3 linked regions of the Saccharomyces cerevisiae S288C genome follow. Changing the gene in region 1 together with any one later gene gives a genetic interaction. Each region holds a gene or a part of one and is shown in the gene's direction. Other genes may lie near its edges.

Region 1 (3,076 bases):
TCCAAACAATCACGGAGAGTTGAACAGGGAAGCCGATAATGAGAAGAAAGAAATTTCCGAGCTGAGCAGTCGGAAAGATCAAGAAAGACTACGAGAATCAATAAACGAGGCTAAACTGCGTCACACATGATTGTGATTGAGTACTCACGTTCTCGTGTTAATCCCGCGGTCTTCTTGTTTTACTAACTTTTCTTTCTCTCATAGCATTCTCTTGACAGTGTTTTATATACATCATATGTACATTTATCGAGCCAATCGAGGGCAGCAGTTTAACATCAAGCCGGATTTGCTCACGCTACTTTGACCCCTTTTCGTTTCGACGGAGAGAAGAAACCGGTGTTTTCCTATCCTTGCCTATTCTTTCCTCCTTACGGGGTCCTAGCCTGTTTCTCTTGATATGATAATAGGTGGAAACGTAGAAAAAAAAATCGACATATAAAAGTGGGGCAGATACTTCGTGTGACAATGGCCAATTCAAGCCCTTTGGGCAGATGTTGCCCTTCTTCTTTCTTAAAAAGTCTTAGTACGATTGACCAAGTCAGAAAAAAAAAAAAAAAGGAACTAAAAAAAGTTTTAATTAATTATGAGAGCTTTGGCATATTTCAAGAAGGGTGATATTCACTTCACTAATGATATCCCTAGGCCAGAAATCCAAACCGACGATGAGGTTATTATCGACGTCTCTTGGTGTGGGATTTGTGGCTCGGATCTTCACGAGTACTTGGATGGTCCAATCTTCATGCCTAAAGATGGAGAGTGCCATAAATTATCCAACGCTGCTTTACCTCTGGCAATGGGCCATGAGATGTCAGGAATTGTTTCCAAGGTTGGTCCTAAAGTGACAAAGGTGAAGGTTGGCGACCACGTGGTCGTTGATGCTGCCAGCAGTTGTGCGGACCTGCATTGCTGGCCACACTCCAAATTTTACAATTCCAAACCATGTGATGCTTGTCAGAGGGGCAGTGAAAATCTATGTACCCACGCCGGTTTTGTAGGACTAGGTGTGATCAGTGGTGGCTTTGCTGAACAAGTCGTAGTCTCTCAACATCACATTATCCCGGTTCCAAAGGAAATTCCTCTAGATGTGGCTGCTTTAGTTGAGCCTCTTTCTGTCACCTGGCATGCTGTTAAGATTTCTGGTTTCAAAAAAGGCAGTTCAGCCTTGGTTCTTGGTGCAGGTCCCATTGGGTTGTGTACCATTTTGGTACTTAAGGGAATGGGGGCTAGTAAAATTGTAGTGTCTGAAATTGCAGAGAGAAGAATAGAAATGGCCAAGAAACTGGGCGTTGAGGTGTTCAATCCCTCCAAGCACGGTCATAAATCTATAGAGATACTACGTGGTTTGACCAAGAGCCATGATGGGTTTGATTACAGTTATGATTGTTCTGGTATTCAAGTTACTTTCGAAACCTCTTTGAAGGCATTAACATTCAAGGGGACAGCCACCAACATTGCAGTTTGGGGTCCAAAACCTGTCCCATTCCAACCAATGGATGTGACTCTCCAAGAGAAAGTTATGACTGGTTCGATCGGCTATGTTGTCGAAGACTTCGAAGAAGTTGTTCGTGCCATCCACAACGGAGACATCGCCATGGAAGATTGTAAGCAACTAATCACTGGTAAGCAAAGGATTGAGGACGGTTGGGAAAAGGGATTCCAAGAGTTGATGGATCACAAGGAATCCAACGTTAAGATTCTATTGACGCCTAACAATCACGGTGAAATGAAGTAATGACAAAATAATATTTGGGGCCCCTCGCGGCTCATTTGTAGTATCTAAGATTATGTATTTTCTTTTATAATATTTGTTGTTATGAAACAGACAGAAGTAAGTTTCTGCGACTATATTATTTTTTTTTTTCTTCTTTTTTTTTCCTTTATTCAACTTGGCGATGAGCTGAAAATTTTTTTGGTTAAGGACCCTTTAGAAGTATTGAATGTGGGAACAAAGACGACAAAAGGTAGTTTTTTCCTTGACTATACTGGTAAGATATCGTCTAAAACAAAGCATGGCCAAGAAAATATCAAAGAATTCAAGAGCTGCTAGACAATCGGATGCTCTTGAACCAGAGGTAAAGGATTTAAGTGAACTACCTAGAGCTGAAAAAACCGATTTGACTAATATTTTGATTAGAACAGCAGCCAAGAATGAGGCATTGCTGGAAGCAAAGATATCTAAGAAAGCCAATAAAAGTAAGAGGGGCAAGAAGTTAAATAAAAAGGCTCTGGAAGACAAACTGGCCAACTCTATTTCATCCATGGACAGGGATCGTTTAGTGAAGGCCTTGAATTTTACCAATCGTCTGGACGGTAAAATTGCCAAGTCCATTTCTCGTGCCAAGTACATTCAAAATACAAGAAAGGCTGGCTGGGATAGCACCAATGAGACTATAAAAAAAGAGCTGGCTTTTTTGAACGGAGGGTTGTCTGTGCAGGCAAAAAGTGCTAGTGAAGGTAATGCTGAAAAGGAAGATGAGGAGATCCCAGAAGTTTTTGACTCTTTAGCAGAGGATAACACAGTGCAGAAGACTCCTACAAATAGATTCGGTGTCCTGCCAGACGATGTTGAAGAATAGAAAATTTTCATATGAAAGGTCCTAGGAATACACGATTCTTGTACGCATTCTTCTTTTTTCTATCTTCTTTCATTCTTTGTACATTAGATAACATGGTTTTAGCTTAGTTTTATTTTATTTTTTATATATCTGGATGTATACTATTATTGAAAAACTTCATTAATAGTTACAACTTTTTCAATATCAAGTTGATTAAGAAAAAGAAAATTATTATGGGTTAGCTGAAAACCGTGTGATGCATGTCGTTTAAGGATTGTGTAAAAAAGTGAACGGCAACGCATTTCTAATATAGATAACGGCCACACAAAGTAGTACTATGAAATTTTCTGCGTATTTATGGTGGCTGTTTTTGAATCTAGCGTTGGTGAAAGGCACTTCATTGCTATCCAACGTTACATTAGCGGAAGATTCTTTCTGGGAGCATTTTCAGGCTTACACTAATACAAAGCATTTAAACCAAGAGTGGATCACAAGTGAAGCCGTCAACAATGAAGGCTCTA
Region 2 (3,427 bases), on another chromosome or scaffold:
ACAATTGATACATGTAATAAGCAAATTAATTCATTAAGTTTATAAATATCCGGTGAAGTCTTCTGTATAAAAAGAGAAACATGAGTTCGTCCAAACATATAACCGAAGGGGGGGGTAATAAAAAGAGCCTGCTTTTTATGTTACTGAGAAATCTATATCGTCACATCCAACACGCTCCCCACATCCAACACGTTTCCTGATGAAAGGTCCTCCAAAAGTGGGATAATATCTAGTAACTCATTATCATGAGTATCAGAGAACCAAGAAGATATCGGAACAGCATGTTGCGGATGAAAGATGTAAGAGGCCGGCGAATTATCTAAGATGATTGTTTCGGACAATGGTCTTCCGATCTGCGATAAGTTCTTGATGTAGTTACCTTCGTAGTTATAACAAGCTTCTCTGAATAATCGATGATGGATGGTTCCATTAGGGTCCAACGTATCTAAAAGGGGGTTTGCATACCTCGAAACACTTGCCGTGAACACAACAACTTCGTATAGTTGACTCACCCTGTTCAAGAACTCATCGACGCCTGGCCTCTTAATAACATAGACATTGTGAACTTGATCATCGATTTCGACGGGCAAAACGAAATCAGCTGAATGCATATATTTAAAGGAAGAATGTACCAAAGTTTCGTCTAGATCCAATATCAGACATTTTTTCTGTTGAAATTCTTGCAACTTGGGTGGTAGCAGAGTGTCGTATCCGGGGGCATGGTACTGGTCTGGTTGCAAATGCGTCAGGTCAGAGAAGTCCTCCTCCGTTGTAGGTATCAAGTTTAAATCATTATCAGGACTGCTGGCGACATATTGTGGATTCATATCTTCTTGACCCACCTGATACAGACCCTGTTGTGGTGGCGCCTCGTCATTAATACTGGAATTTCTATCTGCGTCAACGTTATATTCATGAACGACATGGTCTTGCTTTTCTTTTGCTTCGTCATCTTCTTCTTCTTCTTCTCCGGCATTGTTAACCTCCGTCATTTCTACGTCTCCTTCATTATAATCTTCATATTCTTTCTCCTCATCGTACGAGTTGTTGGAGTGATCTCTTGATAAAGGTGCTAGTTTTCCATTGCCGCTATTCCCATTCTCCTGCATTGTCTTGGAACCCGCATTGCTGCCTGAATCGGAACTAGACAAAAGGATCTCCGGTGTGGAATATTGCATCTTGTCGCCGTTTGGAGTAGCCTTCTGCTTACGACCCTGAGTTTGAGCTTTGTTTGAACTGTGCTTACGGTTGCGGTTGCGGTTGTGATTAGTTTCTGGTGGTTGGCGTTGACGATGTGTTTTGGAAGTATCTGAAGAACAGCACAGTATATTTGCTATAAATCCCATCTGATGATGATCTGAAAAAGCTCCCTAAAACAGACAGAGAAGCACTCTTCACTCAGTTTTTATTGCCAAATAAGTGGAAAATTAAAACGAAAGAACTCAAAAGCAGCACTGCGCTCGAAGAAAGATATATCTTAGCTTAAATCCTCTCCAAAAGGGGAGAACGAAGAATATGTGTAAATTAAGCGATGCTTCGTGGGTTTCTTTTACGCGCTGCGAAAAAGATAATCAAATCTCTAAATTTTAGAAATATAAGCCAGTCGGTAGCCCCCACAAGTCAATTATATATGTCAAAGTTCGTGGCACTGTGGACTGCTTTCATAAAGCTTCTCTTTATCTGTTCCTTAGACTGTGAATACTGAGGTTTTCTAAAAAAAAGCAAAAAAAAAAAAAGAGGGTCCAAACCTATTAACTTCAGGGTTTAAGTATCTTTTTTGTAGGTTATAATGTTCTTTTTATAAACCTTTCTCAGGTTATAATAATATTTCTCAGGTCTAATTAGGGCTAAAGTCTAAAGAAAAATGAAAAAAAAAAAAAATGAAATTTGTGCTAATAGTAATAATGATAGAAATAATAACAATTAATAAGATGGTTATGATGAACAAAAAGATTTATATTATAAGAACTTGACAATATACAGACTTTTAATATATCCGCAGAGGCAAAAAAATAATAGAGGGAACTATGAAGATTCAGGCGGGCCAATTGGGCCTGGACGATAATGACGTGCCGGGACCATTGCCGGACACAGACAGCAAACCCTCATCACAATCACAAAATGACACACCAATGTTTAAATTGGGCAACTTTGAAAGTCCTGTGCTCAAGGAGCTATCACGGCGAACGGTAAACAAGGAAATGGAGACGCAGAGAATTATGACAAACGTAATTGCGTTTGCGTTCTGGAACCTGCTGGTGAAGTTCATCAAGTTCTTTTGGAACAACACTCATGTTGGGAGACAGTTTTGCAACCGGCTATCCAGAATCCATCTGTACATGTTGACATTTCACACGTTAAAGAAGGCTAACATCATATATCACACCACGTTCAGTTGGTTGAATGCAGAACTTCTTGACTACTTGTTCCACCTATTAATCTCGCTCAATATACTGTTTTCTCTTTGGAAGCTCTTATCCACCGTCAAAGTAAGTGATTTGAATCTCACTGACAGGCAAAAGAAGCTCCTGGGGGTAGACATGCAATCATCTGTCGATACTGGGTTGCAGCCACAACACCCCCACTACGTATCCACTTCTAAGATCAGCCAAATGGCACAGAACAAAACACATATTCCTCAAACAAATCTCAAAAATCATCCAGCATATCTCTTCAAAGGCTTAGAGACGCCTTTGAAAGCAAGACAAAGGGAAATGGCGGAGGAACAGACGAAACTACAATCTCAATCCTTACACACAAAGAATGTATTTGGCACACTGCAGAGGCATAGCGGTATCAGTAGCACATTAGTGAGCGCTAACAATGACAATAACTCGCCGCATACCCCTGTAACTAGGAAGGGCTACATTCCAAGTAGCAAATATGCATATATGATGAACTCACAGTCCCCAAGGGGGAAAATATAAAAACAGCAAAAAAACATTTAATACTTTCCATAGCTATATATGTTTTCTCTCCTATTTATATTTTACATATGATTAGCGGCAACCATTACCAATAGTTTGGAAATAAGTATCTTAGTCTTTCTAAGGTTTCCTTGGACATAGCCTCTGGTTTGGTAGAGATAGATTTCTTGATGGAACCGCGCAGCCCATCGCCAGTATGCATGAACTCTGGGATTTCCTTGGCCATTGAGACGATGATCTTAGAAGCTAAAATATTTGCATTGCGCCCATTATTCGTCAAATTACCAATAACGGTTTCTACGGTAACAGGTTCTGCCTCATCTCTCCATGCGTCGTAATCGGTAGACATACAAATCATCTGGTAAGGCAGCTCACACTCACGCGCCAATTTGGCTTCTGGAATAACACTCATGTTAATAACATGGCCACCAAACATTCTGTACATCTTGGATTCAGCGCGCGTGGAGAATTGTGGGCCTTCCATACACACAACGGTCATA
Region 3 (2,966 bases), on another chromosome or scaffold:
ATCTCTTCCTTTTTCTTTTTTAGGTTCAATGCTTTTTCACGTTCTTGCTTATAGTATTGGTCGTATTCATCAACTTTCTTGTCTACGCATTGCATAAATTCGTCGAATCCGTCTCCGGTAAAACTGGAAACGCCCACGACGTCTAGCTGGGAATAGAATTCTTCAAGCATCAGTGACATAGAATTGACCAATGAGCTCATGTACCCGGAGCCCAGCCCATTGTCACCATTCAAGTCTTGATCTTCCTTGATTGCTGCTTGGAAACTCTCAAAATCCGTCATCCATTCCTTAGCAAAATCTGCCTTGCACACGTCGGTCTTGTTGAAAACGACAATCATGGGAAGTTTGGTCTTATACAGAATGGAGCAGGCGTACAGCATGTTACTCATGAATGTAGTTGGGGATGAGTTTCTAGGCGTATCCACGATATATGCAATCACTGTGGGAAAGCTGGAGGCAAAAGATTCCGTGATAATGGCACCCGACGCACTCCACACAAAACATTCGATTTGGCCTGGAGTGTCGATGATGCAGTTTTGGAACTTGTCCTTCTTCTGTTCCACCAACCTAATAACTTGATCAATCTTGGTGCTGAACAAATTCAAACTGGTGACAATGGCACCGTTCGGACCTAGCTGGTAATTCTCCATCACTTTCTTGTATTTGATTGAGTCTCTGATATCGATGTTTGCACCATAGGGGACTCTCAATACTGCAGGATCAAGATTGATTACGTATGGTGGCGTTTTCTCTGCCCGCAAGTGGGAGTTTAACCTTTGCATGAAAGTTGTTTTACCGGATCCGGCCATACCAATACATATGATTGTGCTGAGACTCATTCTTGCTGTGTCGTTATTGCGTTTTGTAGTTGTTTGTGTGCGCTAGATGCTCTCATTGTATTCCTTGTTAAATAGAGCATCGCATTAAAATTTTTTTTTTTCACTTTCGCGAAGAAATTGCTTATGGAGCTATATAGAAACGGTAATAGCATAGGCTTCTAACATTATAGAATATATAGAAATAGAGCACTTACATATTCTTTTTGGCCTTATCACGGTTAGCGTAGATCATGGCAGTAAAAGGTTCTTCCCAACGAAGAGCGATCTTGTACATGAAGTAAACTACGGCAGAAACAACCAGCCCCGCAGGCTTTCCTTTGTAAAGGGCTATGCCCAAGAAGGACAAAGTGGAACCCTGGTACATGGGGTTGTTGGAAACGTTGAAGGGGAAGCCGGTGACTCTCTCATCCATCAGGATGCCGAAATAGTCACCCAAGTACGTCCCTGTGATACCCAGCTTGTACATGGAACTCAAAACAAGCACTTGCCCCAAACCAAAGAGAGCCACACCCAGCTTGGTCCAGTTCTCGCCCGTGATCAGAGAACACGTAGGCTGTTCACGCAATGCAGACTCGTACACCATGTCTCTGACGATACCTAGCGAAAATATGGTCGCCGCCAACATGTAACAGCCCTTTCTGGCCCCACCACACATCTTGGTGAGAGAATGCTTGTGGTATTCCATTCTTGCAACGATGTTCCAAAAGATAGGATTGAACATCGTGCACACAATGGCCAGCTGGAACTTGGAAGACTGTAAATCGACACTGTGGATGAGTTGCTGGATGATCTCTTGGACTGACTCCTTCATCGCTTGACTTGCGCTATTCTTGTTGTCTTCAATTGCTGTTTATGGCTCTGTCCAAGAACGTTCATGTTCTTCATATGTGTTCTCTTATAAAGACCCCTTATCCAGTGGTCATTGCAGTGGCAGTGGACAGAAACCAACGATGCATGTGTGGGTTTGCATATGAAGATTGAAAAGGCTTCTCATATTTCACAACCGGTGCAACTTTCCACATGCACTCTCATTGACACCTACCCTGGTCATCAAGGAAGCATGAACAACAAGGAAGTCGAATTATACGGCGGCGCCATCACTACTGTCGTCCCACCTGGGTTTATAGACGCTTCTACTCTAAGAGAAGTCCCCGATACACAGGAGGTGTACGTCAATTCCCGTCGCGATGAAGAAGAATTCGAAGATGGACTAGCCACCAATGAAAGCATTATCGTGGATCTCTTGGAGACGGTCGACAAGAGCGATCTGAAGGAGGCTTGGCAGTTCCACGTGGAAGACCTGACGGAGTTGAACGGGACCACCAAATGGGAAGCTTTACAAGAAGACACTGTTCAGCAAGGAACCAAGTTCACCGGACTCGTTATGGAAGTAGCAAATAAGTGGGGAAAACCAGATCTGGCACAGACCGTTGTCATCGGCGTAGCGTTGATCAGATTAACCCAGTTTGACACGGATGTGGTCATCTCCATTAATGTACCTTTGACAAAGGAGGAGGCGTCGCAAGCAAGCAACAAAGAGTTGCCTGCAAGATGTCATGCTGTTTACCAATTGTTGCAAGAAATGGTACGGAAGTTTCACGTTGTGGACACGTCGCTGTTTGCTTAATCTTTCAAATTTTAACCTTATGTTTATATTACCTTTTTATTTCTACTATATAGCGTATTACATGTTTTTTCCGATAAGTATAACGAAATTTCCCAGCAGCGAAGAAAGTGAAAAAATAACAGTGACCATAATGAACATTCCTCTCTTTCCATTTTGCACGTATTCTTGCAGAGAAGAGGCACTCTACTCGGAAGACAGCAGATAGATATATAGACTGTAGCGGTTAACGATGGCCAAAACAACAAAAAGAGCCTCCAGTTTCAGGAGGTTGATGATATTCGCCATAATAGCCCTCATCTCATTAGCATTTGGAGTTAGATACCTATTTCACAATTCTAATGCTACTGATTTACAAAAAATTCTGCAGAACTTGCCCAAAGAGATTTCCCAAAGCATTAATAGTGCCAACAATATTCAGAGTTCGGATTCTGATCTAGTTCAACATTTTGAGAGTTTGGCTCAGGAGATCAGACACCAACAGGAAGTTCAAGCAAAGCAAT

The links. A genetic interaction does not mean that the proteins touch.
Region 2: mutations in ECM1 (region 1) and POM34 together harm fitness more than expected from each alone (negative genetic interaction), as found in Saccharomyces cerevisiae (6 studies listed by BioGRID, with this or other methods).
Region 3: mutations in ECM1 (region 1) and MOG1 together harm fitness more than expected from each alone (negative genetic interaction), as found in Saccharomyces cerevisiae (4 studies listed by BioGRID).

What each region holds. Positions count from the first base shown.
Region 1 is NC_001133.9:34,572-37,647, forward strand, and holds ECM1 (Ecm1p), read left to right. Parts: upstream 1-1,937; coding exon 1,938-2,576; downstream 2,577-3,076. Other genes in the region: putative dehydrogenase BDH2, read left to right, coding at 1-130; BDH1 ((R,R)-butanediol dehydrogenase), read left to right, coding at 584-1,732; CNE1 (calnexin), read left to right, coding at 2,893-3,076. UniProt on the Saccharomyces cerevisiae protein: Pre-ribosomal factor involved in 60S ribosomal protein subunit export from the nucleus.
Region 2 is NC_001144.5:178,207-181,633, reverse strand, and holds POM34 (Pom34p), read left to right. Parts: upstream 1-2,027; coding exon 2,028-2,927; downstream 2,928-3,427. Other genes in the region: PSR2 (putative phosphatase), read right to left, coding at 153-1,346; MEU1 (S-methyl-5-thioadenosine phosphorylase), read right to left, coding at 3,013-3,427. UniProt on the Saccharomyces cerevisiae protein: Functions as a component of the nuclear pore complex (NPC).
Region 3 is NC_001142.9:571,286-574,251, forward strand, and holds MOG1 (Ran GTPase-binding protein MOG1), read left to right. Parts: upstream 1-1,809; coding exon 1,810-2,466; downstream 2,467-2,966. Other genes in the region: GTPase NPA3, read right to left, coding at 1-839; OPI3 (bifunctional phosphatidyl-N-methylethanolamine N-methyltransferase/phosphatidyl-N-dimethylethanolamine N-methyltransferase), read right to left, coding at 1,030-1,650; HOC1 (alpha-1,6-mannosyltransferase), read left to right, coding at 2,696-2,966. UniProt on the Saccharomyces cerevisiae protein: Involved in the Ran-GTPase system for nuclear protein import and poly(A)+ mRNA export.